Oryzias latipes: one gene and its partners. The protein of the gene in region 1 interacts with the protein of each later gene in a pairwise test. Links are inferred from orthologs where the notes say so. Each region holds a gene or a part of one and is shown in the gene's direction. Other genes may lie near its edges.

The links.
Region 2: the proteins of ppl (region 1) and rab3ip interact in binary tests that used the Homo sapiens proteins (3 or more experiments, as listed by UniProt). The two-hybrid records come from large-scale screens. The link is inferred for Oryzias latipes from reciprocal best matches to the Homo sapiens genes PPL and RAB3IP.
Region 3: the proteins of ppl (region 1) and htt interact in binary tests that used the Homo sapiens proteins (3 or more experiments, as listed by UniProt). The link is inferred for Oryzias latipes from reciprocal best matches to the Homo sapiens genes PPL and HTT.
Region 4: the proteins of ppl (region 1) and alas1 interact in binary tests that used the Homo sapiens proteins (3 or more experiments, as listed by UniProt). The two-hybrid records come from large-scale screens. The link is inferred for Oryzias latipes from reciprocal best matches to the Homo sapiens genes PPL and ALAS1.
Region 5: the proteins of ppl (region 1) and akt1 interact in a two-hybrid assay, tested with the Homo sapiens proteins (2 studies listed by BioGRID and IntAct). The link is inferred for Oryzias latipes from reciprocal best matches to the Homo sapiens genes PPL and AKT1.

What each region holds. Positions count from the first base shown.
Region 1 is NC_019866.2:25,742,627-25,746,931, forward strand, and holds the start of ppl (periplakin), read left to right. Parts: upstream 1-1,494; 5' UTR 1,495-1,569; coding exon 1,570-1,619; intron 1,620-3,492; coding exon 3,493-3,592; intron 3,593-4,305. UniProt on the Homo sapiens protein: Component of the cornified envelope of keratinocytes. May link the cornified envelope to desmosomes and intermediate filaments. May act as a localization signal in PKB/AKT-mediated signaling.
Region 2 is NC_019881.2:22,284,540-22,288,429, forward strand, and holds the end of rab3ip (rab-3A-interacting protein), read left to right. Parts: intron 1-131; coding exon 132-231; intron 232-2,007; coding exon 2,008-2,077; intron 2,078-2,161; coding exon 2,162-2,244; 3' UTR 2,245-3,384; downstream 3,385-3,890. Other genes in the region: tmem19 (transmembrane protein 19), read right to left, coding at 3,654-3,814. UniProt on the Homo sapiens protein: Guanine nucleotide exchange factor (GEF) which may activate RAB8A and RAB8B. Promotes the exchange of GDP to GTP, converting inactive GDP-bound Rab proteins into their active GTP-bound form.
Region 3 is NC_019859.2:35,176,544-35,180,056, reverse strand, and holds part of htt (huntingtin), read left to right. Parts: intron 1-18; coding exon 19-278; intron 279-359; coding exon 360-502; intron 503-1,213; coding exon 1,214-1,442; intron 1,443-3,206; coding exon 3,207-3,348; intron 3,349-3,453; coding exon 3,454-3,513.
Region 4 is NC_019863.2:10,038,776-10,042,744, reverse strand, and holds the start of alas1 (5-aminolevulinate synthase, nonspecific, mitochondrial), read left to right. Parts: upstream 1-1,158; 5' UTR 1,159-1,321; intron 1,322-2,463; 5' UTR 2,464-2,493; coding exon 2,494-2,965; intron 2,966-3,055; coding exon 3,056-3,199; intron 3,200-3,375; coding exon 3,376-3,595; intron 3,596-3,969.
Region 5 is NC_019880.2:14,666,918-14,671,026, forward strand, and holds the start of akt1 (RAC-alpha serine/threonine-protein kinase), read left to right. Parts: upstream 1-1,305; 5' UTR 1,306-1,558; intron 1,559-4,109. UniProt on the Homo sapiens protein: AKT1 is one of 3 closely related serine/threonine-protein kinases (AKT1, AKT2 and AKT3) called the AKT kinase, and which regulate many processes including metabolism, proliferation, cell survival, growth and angiogenesis.

The sequences.
Region 1 (4,305 bases):
GAACTAGTTCTCTGACATTTTAGAGCGGAGACTTTTGGAGTTTAGCCTTAAAGTTCATGTCAGGAAGAAACGGGAGCTCTTCAATCAGAAGGGACTGTGAGCAAAAAGAAATCAAAAGTAACAGGCATGATCAACTCCACAGAGAAAACTAAATGTAAAACAGGAATCTATGACAAACAATACTGCTCCTGTTTGAAACATGAGAACGTTTCCAAAGGCAAAACCTTTCAACCAGCAACAGAACAGGAGGAAGACTGTCCTGCTGAACCGCTTTCATTTTCTCACATCAGTTGAAATCCGTTGGTATTTGAAGGTTGGCACCGGCGTCGACTTTCCACAGACGGATTTATGAAGACATGAGAGCTCGTTCTGCGTTTGGGGTCATTGATACGTCTCTATGAATGGATCACTGCTGATTGGTCATTATTCTTGCTTTGATTGCTTGAAATAAAACACTTCAAATCAAATCAAATTCAGAATCATGCAGCGTTTCATACAAAGTTGTTGTGGTTTCAGGCGTTTCTCTTCCTGCTTCACGGATGGATTTCAGTCCTTTTCAGGTTGTTTTTGATCAACCAATCCCATCATCCTTTTGCATCCTTAGAATCTGTGCTTGGAATCTGTTTTCCAGTAACACTGAAGAGGCAGGAGCCGATCATTCTGTTTTAATGACAGTCCCACACTTTGTTTTTTAACTTGTCCTGTCCAACAGCTGGGCAGACAGAAGAGGACTGAGGGCCTCTTGTGTTGGACATATTTTACTTTAACAAGAGGGGTTATGAACCTACAGACAAACCAGAGGTATGTCTGAATAAACCCCCTTTTGGAATCCAGGCCAAACTTTATTCAGTTTAATCATATTTGAAGAATGTTTGTGTGACGGAAAAGGAAAGGAGGGAAGAAGAGTTTTTCTCCCAGATCCATCCCTCTGTAAATGCTGGAGATGGTGTGTTCCTGGAGGTCAGAGGTCAGAGAAAGCATTTCCTTAAGCTGTTGTTTAATTCAAATGTCATAAATTGGTTTCACGACCAAATTCAGCAAATTCCCAAAAAACAGACACTTTGTCTTAACTGTAAAAACAGAACAGCCCATAGAGGCGACAGGCACGTGACACGGAAGGCTTTTCCATGAAAGAACTCCCGCCTTCTGCGGCTTCAGGTGAGGCTGAAACCTTTCAGAGAATCTCTGATCTCTGCTGCGTTCTGACCGCAGGTGAAACAGGACAGACCGCAGTCCTGACGGTCACACCTCATCCATGCACGCGCGCGCGCACAGGACAGACCACAGTCCTGACGGTCACACCTCATCCATGCACGCGCGCGCGCACAGGCGTGTTCTGCCCGCCCATCCGTCCCGGTGCTACAGGTATGTTGAAGTTGTTTCGGGGCGTGGCTTGTCACTGTTGGCAGCCAGGTGTGCGCGTCGCGCCTGCGCCTCGGTGACATTGATTGTGAAGGACGCGCAGACACGCCCCTCAAACAACACCTGCGGCGCGAGCGCAGCGCACCTCATTCTGTCTCACCTGGATCCCGCGAGCGGCTGGTTGTAGGAGCTTACAGGTGATCCGCCATGCTGAAGAAGAAGAGCAAGTCCTCGGCGGTCACGCCGCCCAAACCCACGTGAGTCTTGCGCGTGTTAGTCTGGGAGATTTTTGTCCTGGTTGTGGGTTCAAACCTCTGGAATCGAGGGCCGCGTGCACGCTCCTGCAGCTGGAGGAACAGCTGAGGTGCGCGCGCCGATCCTGTGATTCTCCGTCATCAGGTCATGTTCTCCTGGGTTCTGTTGTTCAGCAGTTCTGGTGTTTAGAGAAGGTTCTCCATTTGGACTCTGATGTCTTCCTGGAGTCCAGAGTGGGACTTTATGGCAGTCCAAGGAGATCCACTGTCCTGCTGCCGAGTCCTGGGCTGATGGACCCGTTCTGGGGTCTGTGTCAGGGGTTCCATGTGAACACAGATGTTTCTTTGCCTTCAGCAAAGTCCTGCAGGGACTGAGGCAGTGTTCCTGTGGATCTTTCCGTGCTGTGGTGGAGTGGATCCCTGTGAAATCCACCCTGCTCCTGCTGCCACGCCCTCTTCTCAGGACAGAGCTCTCAGCCGCTGCACGATTCCCAGACCCATCGAATGTGTAGGACTTCAACAGGAGGCGTGTCGTTGCAGAAGAGTCCAGACAGGGAGCTTCCTGTCCCTGAAAAGAGGGAAAATGGGGTGGGGGGTGGCATGGGGGGCTTTAGAGCTACTGACTTTGAGTTGGAAGGTTTCAAACCTTTCTGCCATCAGCAGAGAGCAACTGAACCAGGTTGTGGTTCTCAGCAGACCTTTGGTGTCTGTTGGAACGCCGAATCCTTCATCAACCTTGGCAGATCAGCTTTGTGTGAAAGGAGCCCCCCCCCCTTGGATGAAGCTACACAAACGTTCTGCCAGCGGCTTCCACAGCACTCGGCACCTGTTCAAACTCGTCTCTGAGTGCCAAGCGTTGAATGACGGCGTTTGTGCTCACCTGCTGGAGGGAACGGGCCGCTCTGCTTCTCAATAGGCGCCCTGTCTGTTTTTCATGAGGCGCAGACGAGTGCACGCCATCTGCACGGCCTCATGGTTACCAGTGTGGTTGGCCGACGGTGGCATGAAGAACAGAAGGTCCAGTCTCAGCCCTTTGACCTGCATGTGATCCATGACTGGAGGTGTGAACATGTGTGACCTTCAGCATTTTCATTTCTGAAGTTTGGTTTGTGAGACGCACCGTCCGGCCTGACAGGGGAATGTGGGGGAATCAGACGTGTTGTCATCTCACAGCGCCACACCAAACCTGCTGCCACTCCATGTATTGTATACTTTAGCCCCCCCCCCCCCCCCCCCCCCCCCCCCCCCCCCCCAGCTGGCGGAGTTAAGTCGGTGCAAATGACTTCAAAGTCAACACGCTTTTATTTTGAAAGCAACACATTAGTTCTTCATCCAACCCTGCAGCAGAAAACAAACCGGATGCAGCGGCTGTTCTTCATTTTGTTTCAATTCACGACGTCTAGAAGTTTTTTGCAGTTTGGGGGGGGGGGCTATGTCTTCAACAAACATTGGGCCCCTTTGTGGAAGAACTCTGTTCTTCTGTCTTCTAACGCCGCCTCTCAGCGCTGAAGGCAGAAAAACTCGGGTTGTTTTTAGTCGATCTGTCAGTTTGGCTGTAGACAGTTGGGCTCCGTGCACAACGTGCACGTGCAGGCTCAACAGACCTGTTCTGTGGGTTTCTACAGGAGGTGCATGTTGTGAGTCAACGTGCACGCTCATTGTGTGGCCTGACAGGGAGTGTCTGCTGGGTGGCATTACGAAGCAACCTGAAGGGCCAGATTCCTTCACATGTCAGCTGTAACCTTCCCCGGCCACGCCCTCCTGGAGGCTGTGGTCTGAACTGTGGGTCTGCAGGGCATGAAGCGTGAAAGTGGCTTCCAGCTGATCTCTGCTGCTTGAAAAGCCTAAATAATCCGCATGTGTGTCTGTCTTGAAGTGCCGCCCCCACGGAGCTGAGCGTTCTGGTCGAGAAGCTGCAGAAGAACGCCGACAAAGTGGAGAGGAACATCATGGAGATCGAGCAGAACCTGAACAAGGTACAAAGGAGGGTCCAGGACGCCGATGTTTGAGATCCTCAACCAGACTGTTGGTTCTGGGCTGGTTCTAAGAACCAGAGCACAGCTGGTCTTGAACAATGTGACCATAGAACAGAATCCCTCACTCTTTAGACTTCAATGACATGTCTGTGGAAATGGTGAATGATGAACACTTGTATAGTGCTTGTCTACCCAAAGGCCCAAAGTGCTTTACAGTCACATTCACACACTCATGGCAGCCTTCATTTTCCAGGAAAGAAAAACAAAAATCCATCAGATTGAGTTGCAACTAATTTGGTAGCAGTGATGGCTCTGACGTCATTGTCGAGCTGGACCGCCTGGCAGACGTGCACCACAGTACCTTTACCCAGATCTGAAGACAGTTGTGCTGTACCAGAGAAGGTCACGAGGTCAACGTTCTGTCAGTCTTCTAATCTGACAAAACGGGGAACATTTGCTTCATTCAAACATGAAGGCTGGTCCGTCTAGTCTGTAGTTGAGTGTCTGCTGGAAATGTAGACGAACCAAAGTCTGCTTGACCAAACGCATTCAAACCCAACTCTCTCAGCAGTTATGTCATTAACATGAGGACAAAAATGTCTGCCAAAAGGAAATAAAAACTTTGACTTGGTGGTGTAGACTAGTCATGAGACTCTGACGCGAGTAAACGCTCCAGCACAGCATCATGTCTTGTATCTAGGTCCAGTACAGAA
Region 2 (3,890 bases), on another chromosome or scaffold:
GTTCCTTGCAGGCCAACCTGACAGAGATTCCTCTTCTCCTCGACTCGTACTTTTCCTGGTGTTGGTTGATGAGCGGGTTCAGTTCACGTTCTCCTGAAACTAAACGGTTTTCCTTCTCTGATCTCTGACAGAAAATGTGCCCTGAGTGGTCAGACCAAAACCTGCAAGCACAGAATCAAGTTTGGAGACTCGTCCAGCTATTACTACGTCTCCCCCTTCTGTAGATACAAAGTGAGTACAAACACAAACTACACTTTGGTTTACCTCACAGCTGCTTTGGGACTCCTCTAAGGCGCCGTCGTTCCTCCTGTTAGGTGCCTTCATTCCTCCTCTTAGCGTCCCTATTGGTCGCCGTCGTTCCTCCTCAGAGACTTCTTTATTGCTCCCCTAAAACGCCTTTGTTCCCCCTTTGAGTCGCATGTTGTATCTCCTCTTAGGCAGCTTTATTCCTCCTCATTGCGTCCTTTTTTGGGCGCCGTCGTTCCTCCTCTGAGACGCGTGTTGTTTGTCGTTCATTCCTCCTCTAAGGTGCAGTTTCTTATTTTTTTAACGTAACATCTCAGCTGCTCTAATGGAGTCTGTAGGCTCCGATGTCTGAGCCTCTGCTGCTTTACGTCCGTCCTCATCTCTGAGTCGTTGTTTTAAAAGTAAAATGTTCTGAACGTGGTGATGCAGAAGAAACCCCACATCCTCAGACAGAGACGGGACAGAACAGAACCGGGCTTTTGGGCTGTCGGTTTCATCAGAAACGAGGAACGAACAGCTTCATCTGCAAACAGGTTGAAGCTGAAGTGGATGTGAGCGTTGCAGGACTCAGAATCTTCCACCAGGGGGCGTAGGAGAGCTGCACATATCAAAGCATTTAGGGCTACGTTCACACTGCAGGGCTTAATGCTCAATTCGGATTTTTTGAAAAAATCCGAATTGTTTGCTAGACCGTTCACGCTTCCAAGTAAATCCGAACTTTTGTGATCTCCAGTGTGACCGTGACACGACCCAAACGAGACCCGCATGCGCAGAAGCCAGAAGAATACTCAACGGTGAACGACGTCACTTGTTGTTTGCGGAGCCAACGTTAACAATGGATGTCAACAACAGTGTTGTCAAAAGCGGAGCTCTTTTTGTAATATTACATTTATTTTCACGAAGGAGCAGCACAATTACAATCTTCTCATTTTAAGAAGGCAATGGAGTCGGGATCGTCTGTACCCACTGTAGTGGAAGAGGAATGTGTATGTGTTGGGGCCGCGCCCCCGCGTGTGTGTGTGTGCGTGCAAGCGCGTGACGCGATAGAGAATATGGGGGGGGGGGGCAGTGTGGGCGCGCATTCATGTTGTGTGTTACGGAGGACGGTAATAAAAGGTTTCCCCCAGAATAAATGCTATGGACTCTTTATTAAGCTGTTCTGGAGAATCTAAGGATCAGAACAGGGAGGAGGAGGATCGCCTCGGGTCCCCTGCGCTTGAGCACGGTCAAAGGGGAGAAAGAAAAAAAAAGTAATCGCGGGAAAGGTTCAACACCACGCTCTGCCATTTAGCTGGAATTTTTTACAAAAACCGCCCAGTTGCAATAAAAGCCCTGGAGTTTGGCCTGAAAAGAGCGATCAGCCCAAATATTAATCCAATCGGGGATCTCGCTTCCCTTCCACTGACTGATCTCAGCAGCATCGTCCACCATGGTTGATGTTTACGTTCTCGTTCCCGCCTACTTCAACGCAAAATGATGACGTTTGTTGCGTGTCGATGACGTACAGTTCGGAATTAAGTCGCCTGGCCGGTCAGACGGCGGTCGCAATTGAAAAGAACGGCTACAATTCGGAATCAGGACGGCAAATCCACGGGGCCTGGGTCGCAATTGAAAAGATCGGATCTGTGTCATTCAGACTGTCATGAAAAGATCGGAATTGGGCCGCTTAGGGGCAAAAAAATCGGAATTGGGTCGTTTCAGCCTGCAGTGTGAACGTAGCCTAGGATCATCAACTCACCTGAGAAGTTTGTTTCTCCTCAGATCACAGCCGTCTGCAACTTCTTCACCTACATTCGCTACATCCAACAAGGGCTGGTCAAGCAGCAGGACGGTGAGGCCGAGTCCAGAATGTAAATGTGGGCTGGAGAGGTTCTGAGCGCTTGTGACGGAGGCTCTGCGGGTTCTGTGTCTGCAGTGGAGCAGATGTTCTGGGAGGTGATGCAGCTGCGCAGGGAGATGTCCTTCGCCAAGCTCGGCTATTTCAGGGACCAGCTGTGAGCGGACGGCGCCGCACACTCCCACCTGATGCTCCGCCCTCCTCCCGGTTCTGCCCCCGCCCCCCCTCCTCCTGTCGTCCTGAAGCACCACCACCCGTCCTCCCCCCTCCCCGTGCGTGAGTGTGTTTGTACAGACTGACAGACAGCGCCCCCTCTGGCCGGCCGTGGTCTCTGATCCAGAACCTTCATCTTCTTTTTCGACTCCGTTCAATGAAGAAAAACGGCGTCAAGAAAAAACCCCTGAAGAGTTGGAGATTCTGACTCTTCTGTGGAGATCAGTATTTTCTTAGAGCATCAATAAAATATTTTTAATTATTTAAAATCTATAAAAAAAGACCAAGTAACTTTAAAGTCATAAACACAAATGAAAAAATCAGAAATATTTGGCTTCAATTTCATGCAAAAATATTTAGTTTGAAAGCAAAAAGATTACATAAAAGCATGAAATTGTAATAAAATTACTATGAAAGTTGTGGAATTAATACGTTTTAATTTAAACATTGTAATTACATTTAAGATCTAAATATTGATCCCACCACGTAAATTCAGTCAAGTTTTTATTATTTTATTGTTTTTAATGTCATTGACAAGTAAAATTCTAAATAATTTTTCTAATTTTTTAGTTTGTTAAAATTCACCTTTAATTTAAAATGGTTTTGTGTTGAAAACTTTCATTTTTTTGGTCAAATTTTAGTCATTTTCCACAAAATTTAGCAAAAAAAATCCCACAAAATGCTGCAGAAACAATCAATTTGTGTACAAATGTTTAACATGAAACTGGAGTTCCACCAAACGGCACTGAAACATCAGAAAATGTCACAATTTTTGCATTTTTTAACTATTTGAAAAAGTCACAGGCTTGATTTTATTGTTTTTCTTGAAAGGCGTTTCTCCTAGGAAGTCTGCTGGAGTTTAGTTTTCCGTGGAACGCCGTTTTGCTTCCGGGTTGCTTATGATCTCTGCAGAGCGGATGACGCTCTGCTCCTGAGGCCGCTGGGAACTGACGGCTCTGCAGAGACGCCGCATGCCGACGGCTTTCCTAGTTGGTGGTGTGAATGTGAAGCCCCGCCCCCTTTCCGGTTTGGTTCAGTGCCTTTTCTCTCAGACACTCTGAAATAAAAACAGGAATACCTCTGGAAACTCGCCGCTCTCTGCGCCGTCTGTTTGCCGCTGGTTTCTTTTCAGGAAAAAAAAAAAAATCAAAGTCACGAAGAACCAACTGTAAACTTTATTAGACTATTCCACCTCCCATAGAGTTTCTGGTAAAACATGATCACCATGGTAACCAGCACAGAGGAGGAGGAGGAGCTTCTTGTCCCGGCGACGCTCCTCATTAAATTCGGTTTTCCTAACGTGATTGAGCAGATTCGTCTTCTAATCAGAACCTACAGTCTTTAGTGAGGCGCTCATCTATCGAGGCCACGCCCCCCACGCCATCCCGGGCAGGAAGAGGGCGATGAGGACGCTGGAGAACAGGTTGACGGCATTGTTGTCCAGGATGGGCTTCCCGCAGATCCGCTGCGTTGTGGCGGATTCGGAGCTCACCACCTTTCCGATGCTGGCGTCGAACCCTGAAGGGGGGGAGAGACAGGAAATCAGCTGAGAAAACCGACACGTGACGGTGACCGCCGCCGCCGCCACCACCGT
Region 3 (3,513 bases), on another chromosome or scaffold:
TGAAATGCCCTTCTTCAGGCCTCGGTCGCCACAGTCCAGCTGTGGGTGTCTGGCATCCTGGCTGTGCTCAGGGTGCTGATCTCTCAGTCCACCGAGGACATTGTTCTGTCCCGCGTCCACGAACTGTCCCTCTCCCCTCACTTCCTGTCCTGCCGCACCATCCGCCGCCTGCAACAGCAGGGCGCCGCCCAGTGCGAGCTTCCTGCTGCTGAAACGCTTTCCAACCAAGAAGCTAATGGAGACGCACAGAAAGCTCCACCGGAGGAGACGTTTGCTCGGTAAAGTTTCCGAGCTGAAGCACCGACATGTCTTATTTTTCTGTTTTTCCCTCTGTTGACGTGTTTTCTGCCTGGTTCTAGGTTCCTCCTTCAGCTGGTCGGCGTTTTACTCGACGACATTTCCAGCAGGCGGGTGAAGGTGGAAATCACGGAGCAGCAGCACACCTTCTACTGCCAGCAGCTGGGCACGCTGCTCATGTGTCTCATACATGTCTTCAAGAGTGGTGAGCATGATCAGCCCCCGTGGTGGAGCGTGCATTACACACCTTCAGCACCGCTACGTCTGAATCCCTCATGAACCGTTTTATGATGCAGAAACCAGCTTTGCATTGCAGATGAAAAATTCCTGTAGCCACAATAAATTTTCATCAGAGTGGATCTTTAAGGACAGCCAGGATTTAACATTACCCTCATAAAACTACTTTGACTTTCAATCCGCTTGTTGCATTTGGTCGTCCTTGCAGTTGTACTTTGGCCTTCTTTTACGCCCCTCTAAAGTTACTGCTAACTACTTGTTTGGACAGATTGCTGTGATTTGTGTTGCACTGTTCATTTGACCTTCAAATGCAAAATTTTTGTAACAAGGGGAAAAAAATCCCAACAACTTCATCTTCATTGGAGACACCAACACACTTCCTGGTCCTCAAAAGTGGCTTTTCCCTCAAATCCTAAACGATTATCAAAAAGCCAAAGGAAACGGATCCCCGCTTAGTGTTTAAGGTCAAAACTATTAAATCTGCAGCTGCAGGCAAACTCAGATCCTCCTCGACGCCTGGCGAACACTTAAAAACTTTTCAAGAAGCTCTTGTAGTTCAGTTTATGTTTTCTGTCGTGAAAACCAAAATCTGCTGTCATGAAACTCCATAAGCACTCCACTCCAGTGAAACAGCCACTTTGTACTTTACATCTGACAGGACATCTTCCTCTCTCTCCAGGCATGTTTCGCAGGATCACGGCAGCAGCCAGCCGTCTCCTGAAGGCCGAGAGCGGAGGAGGTCTGACCGGTTCCGAAGCAAACCTCTTCTACCCCTTAGAGGGGCTGAACAGCAAGGTCCAGTGCCTCATAACCACCCATCCTCCGCTGGTTCTGCTGTGGTGCCAGGTCCTCCTCATTATCAACTACACCAACTACAGCTGGTGGGCGGAGGTTCATCAAACACAGAGGTTTGAACCGACACATGCCAGAGCCCAAAAAGCCTTCAAAGCAAAATCCAGTGACATTTAGGTGTGATTATGCCTATTTCACCGCATACTATCTCATAGAAAGATTGCAATGCCTTAAATCAGAGCAATTTCTTTCTCAACCTCTTTGTGTCACCACAGGCGTTCCTCAGGGCTCTATCATTGGACCCACCCTTTTCTCAATCTACATGAACAACATAGCTTTCTATGCTATAAAAATAGTTTCAGAATAGTCACAGAATATAAATATCTTGGAATCTGGCTAGACAACGCATTATCTTTGTCACCCCACATCCACCATTTGCAGTCAAAGGTTAAGTCAAAATTCCTCTCACACCTCGGTCCCTTGTTTGGTTATAGCGATTTCATTTACAGATCAGCCACAAAGCGTTTGCTGAACATCATTCTGCCATTCCATTCATGCTCCCTTCAAAACCCACCCATGTACCCAGACCCTCAACTCTTCACTAACACAAAGCTCTCATTGGTCTTTCACCTCCTTCTTCAAGCCAGCTTTTGCACACTTCCTCCCCCATGTGCAACACCCGCTCTGCAAAACAGTCTCCTCATTGGTTTCTTACAGTCTGCACCACCCAGAGACTGGAATAATTCACGAAAATCGCTTAGAGTGGACAGTTTTAGAAGGAATCCTGACACTCGAAGGAGTCCTGACACTCATCCTGATTTTTATGCTTTTCTGTGCGTCTCCTTTCATTTCTCTTTCTCAAAAGGCCTTGCCTTTTGCCAGGCCAAAGTTCAAAATAAGTTTTTTTTTGTTGTTGTCTGTTTTGCCTGGATAAATAAAGATCAAATGAAAATATATTAAATATGAGATGTGTACAAATGTTGGTGAGTTTTTGAGGATGTGGCAGGGGTCACATGTTTTGCTCAAAGGCAAAGAAAGAAGAATCGTGAAAACAATCTGGTCCTTCCTTGCAGTCCGGGAGAGAAAAGATGGGTAAAACATCATTATGAGGTGTTTAAACACGTCTTTGCTCTGATATGTGAGCTCCTCAGTTTTTTCCTGTTTCATTCAGTTGTGCGGAAAGATTAGAAGACCGATCTTCTGCCGCAAAGAGAATTAAGAGGTTTTCTTTTTTTTAGTTCTGGGAGCTGTTCCCCATATAGGAGTTCTTTCCAGAGTTCCCAATTTTATTTTATTTATTTATATTCTATTTTTTGACAGGAGTATCAACATTCACACCACTATCACATTGTTTCTAGGTTACACATAATTTTACATCATGAATATGTTCAGTCAGTAATCCAGAATGCGTGTTCATCATTTTGTACTCTTCCCCCCCTTTTTTTTTTTAGGAACAAAGGACAGAACGGCTGTCAATCTTACTCATCCTCCAAGACAAAATCAAACTTGCATTCTTATCTGTTATCCTGTAGTAAAGAAGTATTTTACTGAAATTAAAGTAGGATCTGGTCTAAGAGGTCCAATATATTTGACCCATTTTGCCCACCATTTCTAGCCTTTAGCTGTATGCCCCTTTATTGCAAATGTCAGACTTTCCATAACATAAATGTCATGTGTAGTCTTATACCAATCATCTAATGTTGTAACATCTGGTTATAACCAATTCCCTCCCACCAGCAATATTCTCATTAAATATTGGTCTTCTGCAGACCGCATGTGTTGGATTACTGCTCCCAAATATACAGCAGAAGCATTAAAGGGGAGGGTTTTTTGAAATGTCGTCTCCAAACATCAAAGGCTTTTCTTCTTCTCCTCCTCAGACGCCACAGCCTCTCCTCCACCAAGCTACTGAGCTCCCACTCCTCTGGAGAGGGCGAAGAGGAAAGCTGCGAGTCGCGGTTAGCCGTGGTGAACAGAGAGATCGTACGCAGTGGAGCCTTAATCCTCTTCTGTGACTACGTGGTGAGGAGGCCTGACTGCACACAGAGCGTCTGAATAACGTGTGACGGTGATGTTCGAATGTTGGAAACAAGGAAAATTCTCTTGATGTTATGCTTCTACGCTCAGTGCCAGAACCTTCATGACTCGGAGCATCTGACTTGGCTGATTGTCAATCACGTGCGTGAC
Region 4 (3,969 bases), on another chromosome or scaffold:
ACAAGTCATGTGTTGCACCCGTAGCCTCCTAAAACTGCTATGAGCATGAGCTACACAGCATTTTTGTGTTTAATGGAACCAGAACCATTTCTGTGCTGATTTATTTTTAATAACACCAACAATAAATAAAAATAAGAAGGAACTAGTTGCTCAAAGTGTGGGACAAACACTAATACGTTTTTTTGTTTTTTGTATCAAGAACTTGTGCATGGTCGGTGTACCATGTGAGCTGCCACAAGCAGACGGACAACCTGGGCTGAAGATTAAGAGGCCTAAAAATACTTAAATGGATGTTTCACTTAGGCTTTGGATTTAATCAGAAACCTTTGATGAAGATGTTTCAAGACGTGCAGAAGTACATCATACATCCACGACCATGCTCTAGTATCCCCTTCATCACCATTTTTTTAATATAAATAGGTAGCGGAAGAATTCAAGTTCTCTTCAGAAGAAAAGAGAGGGGGAAACAGCACACCAAGAGTTTAAGATCGGTAGCCAAACTGTGTCTGGGGGCTCTTTTTTAAACTTAAAGCCACACCACAATTAATATAGAACACATTTAGTCCAAATGTAAATGTCAGAACATATTTAAATGAACAATACAACCAAATCTTAATTTCTCTCTGATGAGAATTAGGCATATCAAAACACATTGCTATACATGTTTACAGACAGATCTCAGTATTTTATCCTTTAAATATATTTAAAGATCACTCTGTACAGAAAAAGAGATTGAGGATTTGCAATTCACATGGGCTGCCTGATGACTTGTAGACACAAGGTTTTGATTGCCTTAAGTGACCTTTGATGTTAAGCTCTGATGTTGTAATGCTTGTTTGCGTTTTCTGTTTTTCGCTTTCTAAAATAAAAATACTCGAATTTGATTTTTGTTTTATGTCTTAGTAAAAGTTATAGTTTGTCTTTTTTTTAAATCTACATACGTGTTTTCATAACAAAAAAAATATTTAAGCATAAACATCTTTAGTAAATTAATATAGATGTATGTAAAAAAAAATCAGGTATACAATTTGTATTTAAGGTTTGCATTTCCTGTTGTAAAATGAGTCATATGTGTTATCTTTAGATGTGGGCGGAGCGTTTCAGGAAGTGAAAAAGAAAAGCCATCTTGTCTCGCGAGAGTTGGACATCTATATACAACCGATGCTCAGTCGTCCTTATCGTTCGTCCTCAGTGCAGGGTAACGCTTACATATCTCATCTTAAAAAAGCAGTTCACATTTTCAGGTCTTACATCAGTTGAAAAGCCTGTCAGGTTCTGAGACCACAAAAAGGAGTACGCGGTTCCGCAGACATATAAAAAGGTAAGTCTTTGAACATTTTTTATTGAACCTCATCGATCGTTTCTGACGTTTTAGCTAATATTAGCAGTCCGGCTAACGTTAAGCTAGGTCACCCGGCAAGGATCACGAGAGGTCGCCTGTCGTGATCATCATCGTGACTGTTTTACAGTATCACTTCCCGAACTACGATTTTGTTTCTGATTTGTGGATATTGTAGATTTAACCAGACTCAGTAGTTATTTAATTTATGTAGAACATTTAATTCCTTTAGATAACTTCCTCGTAGGGCATTAAGTTAAGTAATAAAAAATAATCGTTCGTTAACCGCAACTGAGGCTTTTATCTATAGCTTTATTAATATTTACATACATACTGTTGTTGTTCTATATTAATGTTTTATATCAATTCCAAAGATCCGTTGTTAAAGTTAATATAATTGTCTTTCTTTGTAGTTTATATTATAAAAAATGCTGACAACAATAGTAATGGAAATAAAACAGCTAAATGAGATCAACGCATTACTATTATTTAATAAAGATTTGTCTGGAGAAAAAAAAAAGCCGAGGAATGTGTTTTGTCCAGTGTTGCATAAAAGTTATTTCCCAAGAAGGGCTTGACAATGATATTTAAAGTTGTTGCTAATAACTTTTTTGTGAATATAAGATCTTAATAGATTTATTTTAGGTGTCATTGCATGAATCCTGGAGCAAAAATCAAAGGGATCAAGTTGGGAACAATTAACAACAAAAAACAAAAAAAATAAAACATCTCTTAAGTTGGAGATGATGTGTGATGAAGATGTTTTATTATTACTGAACAAGCTGTTTATTAACCCACCATTTTTTTTCTTAAAAAATACAAACACCATGAAAGATAATCATTAAACAACACTAATGTAACATTTTTAGGTTGTTGTGTTGAAACCTGAAGGTCATCAATTCATTCTGACTATAGCTCATCTGAAATTATTGGCATTGCCCCCCCCCCCCCCCTCCATATTTCTGCTCTCAATCAAACTTTATTCTGTTTTATCTTCACCGATGAATGAAACAGAAGCCTGATATGTATTATGTTTTTGTTATCAACTCTTATAACACCTCTGTGAATCAAAGGTGTCTGCTGTACTTATGCATTTTTCCTGAAGTCTCATATCTTTCTTTTAGAGTTCCTGGCAGTTGAAGGTCCCATTCACCATGGAAGTGATAGTGCGTCGATGCCCATTTTTGGCCAGTGTCCCTCAGGCTTTCTTCCAGCAGACAAAGAAGTCTCTGGTCACATATGCTCAACGATGCCCCATTATGATGGAGCTCGCTGCTAAACCCATGGCCCCTTCCATGGCACGGGCCCTCTGCTCCTCATCGTCTCATCAGCAGAGTGGTTCAAATAACGTTGAAGGTGAAGAAGAAAGAAGGATCCAAATAAAATATTCTCCCTATCATGCTGGAACACTGCAAATAAACTGGAAATCTTTCCCTCTTGCAGCTCCTAAACAAGAAGAGGAGTCAAAACTGCCTTCTGGCCATCCCATGCCATCTCAAGGCCAAAACGTGGCCTCAAAATGCCCCTTTCTGGCTGCTGAAATGAAGCAGAAGAACAGCGCTGTGTTCCGTCAGGTTGCCATGGAGTTCCAGGAGGATGTACAGGAAGTGCGCACCGTCCAGAAAGGTAAGATTTCTCCCACAATCCTCATGTTTTTGCCGGTTGTTCCTCAATGCATATAAGCTGACTAATTCTTTCATTCTTTAAACTGTCTAGCTAAAGTTTCATCCACCCAGTTGAAGGAGACATCCTTGGCCAGTACCAAAAAAGCAGAGGAGCAGTCAAACCTAATGAAGACCCTCCTGAAGCAGCGCCCTAAGAGAGTCAGCCACTTGCTTCAGGACAACATGCCTGGAAGAAGTAGGATTTCTGTTTTTCTTGTTTCTAGATGAGTGGAAGTGGTGGCTGAATCTCATGTTTACTACTGCTAAACAGTTTTTACATTCATGTTTTGTGTCAAAAGTTGGGTAAAATTTCCATCTTGCTTTGTCATCTTGCTTTCTATATTGAGATTGTGTCTTCCTGTTTTGCCACAGTGTCCCGTTTCCAGTACGATGACTTTTTTGAGAAGAAAATTGAGGAGAAGAAGAGCGATCACACGTACCGCGTGTTTAAGACGGTGAATCGTCTGGCCACGGAGTTTCCGATGGCTGACGACTTCACTGGCTCTTTGGAGGACAAGAGGGAGGTGTCCGTCTGGTGCAGCAATGACTACCTGGGCATGAGTCGACACCCTCAAGTTGTGCAATCCATAATGTGAGTAATGCGGGATAGGTTGGTTTGGAACGGATGACATTTGAGCTACTTTCTGGGGTCAATGTCTGTTGTGTAATGACACAAATATTTCCCCCTTATTTCCACTAATGATTAAACGCTTTGTGTTTTTAACCAAAATGAAAGGCGCTATATAAATAAATAAAGTTTGAGTTTGAGTTAAACCTGTCAAACTGTGAGAGCTGAGTGTAAGCAGACGGAACAAGAAAAATTGTATTTAGATGCATCTAAACATGTTTTAAGCCTTGTTTGTGTGGGTGCAGAGTATTTGTTGGCCTTAATTCAAACAATTTACGTTTCGTGTTTGTTTTAGTAGGCTTGATCATACTCACCTTTTACTCACCGCTTATTTTGTT
Region 5 (4,109 bases), on another chromosome or scaffold:
GAGGGTTATGAAGTTGGAGCAAGGAGCACCCCAGAATTATAAGGGTCTGAGGAAATTGAGTAAAAAAAAAATCTATGATATTCTCTATGGTTACCGGAGGTGAGAATGAGAATAAGTTTGGAACGATTCGTGATCCGGGAAAGTTGTTGACCACCTAACCCGGCAGCGTTGGAGAGTCGAGTGGCCCGGTGGGTAACGTGAGTTGTTTAAGGAGATGCTGATCGATGAGGCTGTGTTCAGCGCCAGAGTCAATAAGAGCCCTATATTCGTGAATGAAAATTGGGGAGAGATTCTACAGGAACAAAAATAAATTTATTTTCTTTGGAGTTTTCAGAATTATCCCCCCGTGGCCAGTCATCTAACAGGGGGTACTGGAGTTTAAACGGATGGTGCATTGTGATACTAAGTGACCAGAGTTCCCACAATAAAAGCATAACCCCTCTTTTAGAATGATAATAATATTGAAAAAGTGTCAAAAAATGTATACTGTATGTAATAAAAGTAAATACTTATGTGTAGTGCATGAAAATAAGGGGCATAAATAAAATGTACCTTTTTTTATATATTTTACTGGAAAGATCAAGTTTTTTCCACACCAAGCCTTGCATATTTATCATTCTTGACATTTAAAGTCTTTACTGATTTATACGTATTTTAACAAAAAACACATTATTTGTTCCAACCAGCTTTATATTTGTTTAATCGTCCTATCCAACTGCTTTATATTTGCTATAAAAAATAAAAATAAAAAACAAACACACACACACACAAAATTGAGACAAAAACTTATTTATTTGGTGACATTCATGCATTTATTTTTGATTCACTTTTTCCAACGTGTGCTTTTTTCATGTTTATTCTGTGACAAAGACTCTCAGCATCTTCCTCTCAGCCTCCTTCCTCCTCATCCTATTTTCTTTTGACAATCATCCTTCAAATTCTGCACTTTCACTTCTGCCCTGGACCTGTTGTTTTCTCTGAGTGATCATACCAGCAAAGATTACAGCCACAGCAAATTAACAAAAATGAATCACCACTGACTTCCTACAGTAAATCAATCTTGAACAGAATCTCATGTTCCATGAAGTGAATCAAGTCATTCATTGCAGGAAGGACCCCTTCAAACATTAGCGGGACCTCTGGGGGTCCAAACACCCGCTTCACCACCAGATAGAACACAGAGGAGTTCATCAAGTGCATCCAGACCTCGCAGACCCGCTCCATTAAAAAAAAAAAAAATCATTTCTCCCAAACGGGACAGCAGAGATCCAACGGCTCGTCTTGTGGAGCTGATAAAAGACCAGCGCTAGGACCCGGGAGAGCCGGGCCGCCACAGAGGCATTGCAGACAGCGCGTTTGGGAGGTGTAGTGGAAGAAAGGCAAGAGAAACGGAGTAAATGAGAGACTTCTGTGCACATTGTTGAAGGACTTACCAACTCAAAATACCGCCGAAACGGCCCACTGTAATGAGACGGACACGCTGTTGAGTTCCCGCACAGGTAAACGGCCGCGTTTTCCGTCGCGTGGTTAAACTGCAAGAGGCCGACAGCCAGACAGGGTAGGTCCCCATTGTACTTACATGGGATGCGGTTATTCTCACCCAAGCTGCCCTGCTAGGCCCCATATCCTTTTTTTATCCATTGCGAAGTGAAAACCCCCGAAATGAGACACTTTTATGGCTCTTTTTTGTCGCCGTAGAATCGCCGCGTTCCAGTTTAGGGCTTATGAACTCGTTGTGGTTTTGCACCAACCGCAGAAAGACACTTTTTTCAGACGCTAATCATTCATTTTTCGTTTCTTTGTGAAGACTCACGGAAAATATTGACGTAATTGGGCCTTAAAGAAATAAAAGAATAAATAAAAAAAGTTGAGTCCAAACTAAATGCTCAATAATAGACAGAGCAGCTCATTCATTGTTATCTATTAGCACTTTGTTTACTGCTTCTTCTTCTTGAGCTCAGAAATGCTGCCACACATTTCAGCTTCAGCTATTAAAGGTTTGTTTCTATCACTGTCAACAAATCTTTGCTGGGAATTGTCACCCTGCACTCTTGAAAACGTGTCCTTTCAGTCATTTTATGTTTTTTGGCCTCTGGCTTTCGGACACCAGGGAGGTCTCAAGGAGAGGCCTCAACTGTTATTTTCATGTTTTCCTCTCCAGTAATCAGTTCAATGACATAATGCTTGTTTTTATGGTTTCTACTGCCCTCACTGTCATTATTCCACCTACAGCGATGACTGTTACTAAAAGCATCCCATTTAGCCAAAGGTAGTTTATTTTCTTTTCTTTTTTTTCCTCCCCAGCAGTCTTATAGATGTGGAGGTGCTGCACATGGGAACAGGACAGCCTTCATGGAAGTGTGAAATCATGTTTGACTTCCGTCTCTGGAAGTTTCCAGAACATTGTCCCCAGGCGGGCTGTTCTCTTGAGTGTCAAAGTTGTTTTGTTGGTCATGAGATTGCATTGCCTCAGTTTGTGTACACAAGGGGACGCGACATGTGACCCCCGGAGAGGACGCAACAAGCTGGCGTGGTGATGCAGCCAGTGACTGCTGGGCTCTCCCTGTTTTATTTAGAAAATACCAGCAGCCTCCCACCCAATGCCCTCGCAGCTTCATTGACGCAAATGTGCCACCGGTTGCATGCTGGATCAGAGGGTTGTTGCTTGAAACGTTTGGTTTCTGCAAAAGAGACTCCCAGATGGTCCAGGCTGTTGCGCAGGTGAGTCAGGTTGCCTTCAAATTGGCTTCTCCATCGTTTGATGGAAAAAACAAAAAAACAAAAACAATCACATCAGAGAAGAGCTCAAAGTTGAGCTCTGAGCTGCATCTGTACACTTCTGCACAGCCTGTCTGGACAGCCTGAAAGTGAAAACAGTTCTGGGAGTCATAAAGGGTTTGCTGTTCATGTCATCACAGGATTAAGCTTCTTGCTTGTCAAGATTGCTCCTACTGTGGTTTGGTATTTAGTAACAACTACTCCACTTAGCCTTAATATTATTATTATTGGTGATGTTATTTTTTTAAGGAACCTAAAAGAGGAACGCTGTACGGTGTAGTAGATCACACCAATGCCTGTTCCTATTGTGGCATTTAAAGCACACCAAGCATTGCCTCAATGTTTTCTTTTGCCAGGATCAGGGGAGAATGTTTGATCTCGTCTTTCTTGTAATGATTTCAAAAAAGAGTACTGTTCTACCTGTGTAACCACAAACCAGCTGCCAGGTTTTGCTTACTAAAACGGAAACAGAAAAATGAGGAAAACCAGATTTGAATCTATTGATTTGGAGTGAATTTGGTGGTGTCTTGATGACTGCTTGTTTTTTCTTTTTTGCTTCCTGCCTCTAACACATGGGACGGTTGTCTCTGTCCTCCCAGTCACAAGCAAACTATTTGACATCTTTTGCTTCATAGCACTGATTAGTATTGAAAGGGGTCCCCCCCCCCCCCCCCCCTCTCCCTGCAAAGGTTTAGATAGAAAAATGAATGATTGAAAGCGTCTCTGACATCAGGGCAGCCAGGCAGGCGGTGGCCCACCGGACTGCAGATCATGTGACCCGCTGTCAGGGTACTGGGTTCATTCAGTGGCTGCTGGCTGCAGCCCAGCTTTTCCACACAGCAGAGCCGCAGCAGCGACAGGTCGCTCCCGGTTTAAAAACAGCCAGATCTCTGTTGTGGCTCCAGAGTCAGACTTGTGTGCAGTGTCGCCATTTTGGTTTGTGCGACGGCTCCCGGTCTGTATGAAGGTATGAAAGCACGCATGCCGGTGTCACAGAGTCCGCCTTAAGATGCTGACGTGATCCCAACTGCTAGAGTGATTAACTGCGCTCTGTCTGTGTGCTTTTTACAAATCCACGTGCGCAGTGCTTCACACGGTGGCTGTGTGGGACAACACCAGCCACTGTGCAGTAAACACAAGCGGCGGCTTCAAGAGACTTCGAAGGTTTAGTCAATGATGGAAGTGAGAATGAAGCTGCAATAACAGACGCGCTCATCAGATATTAAATGACAGATGTTATCAAGCCCCGGGGCAGTTCTGATATGACTCGTAGGCTGTCGAGTCACATTCACTTCCTGTTGATGTCAAATAAGCTGGATGAGGTTAGCCAG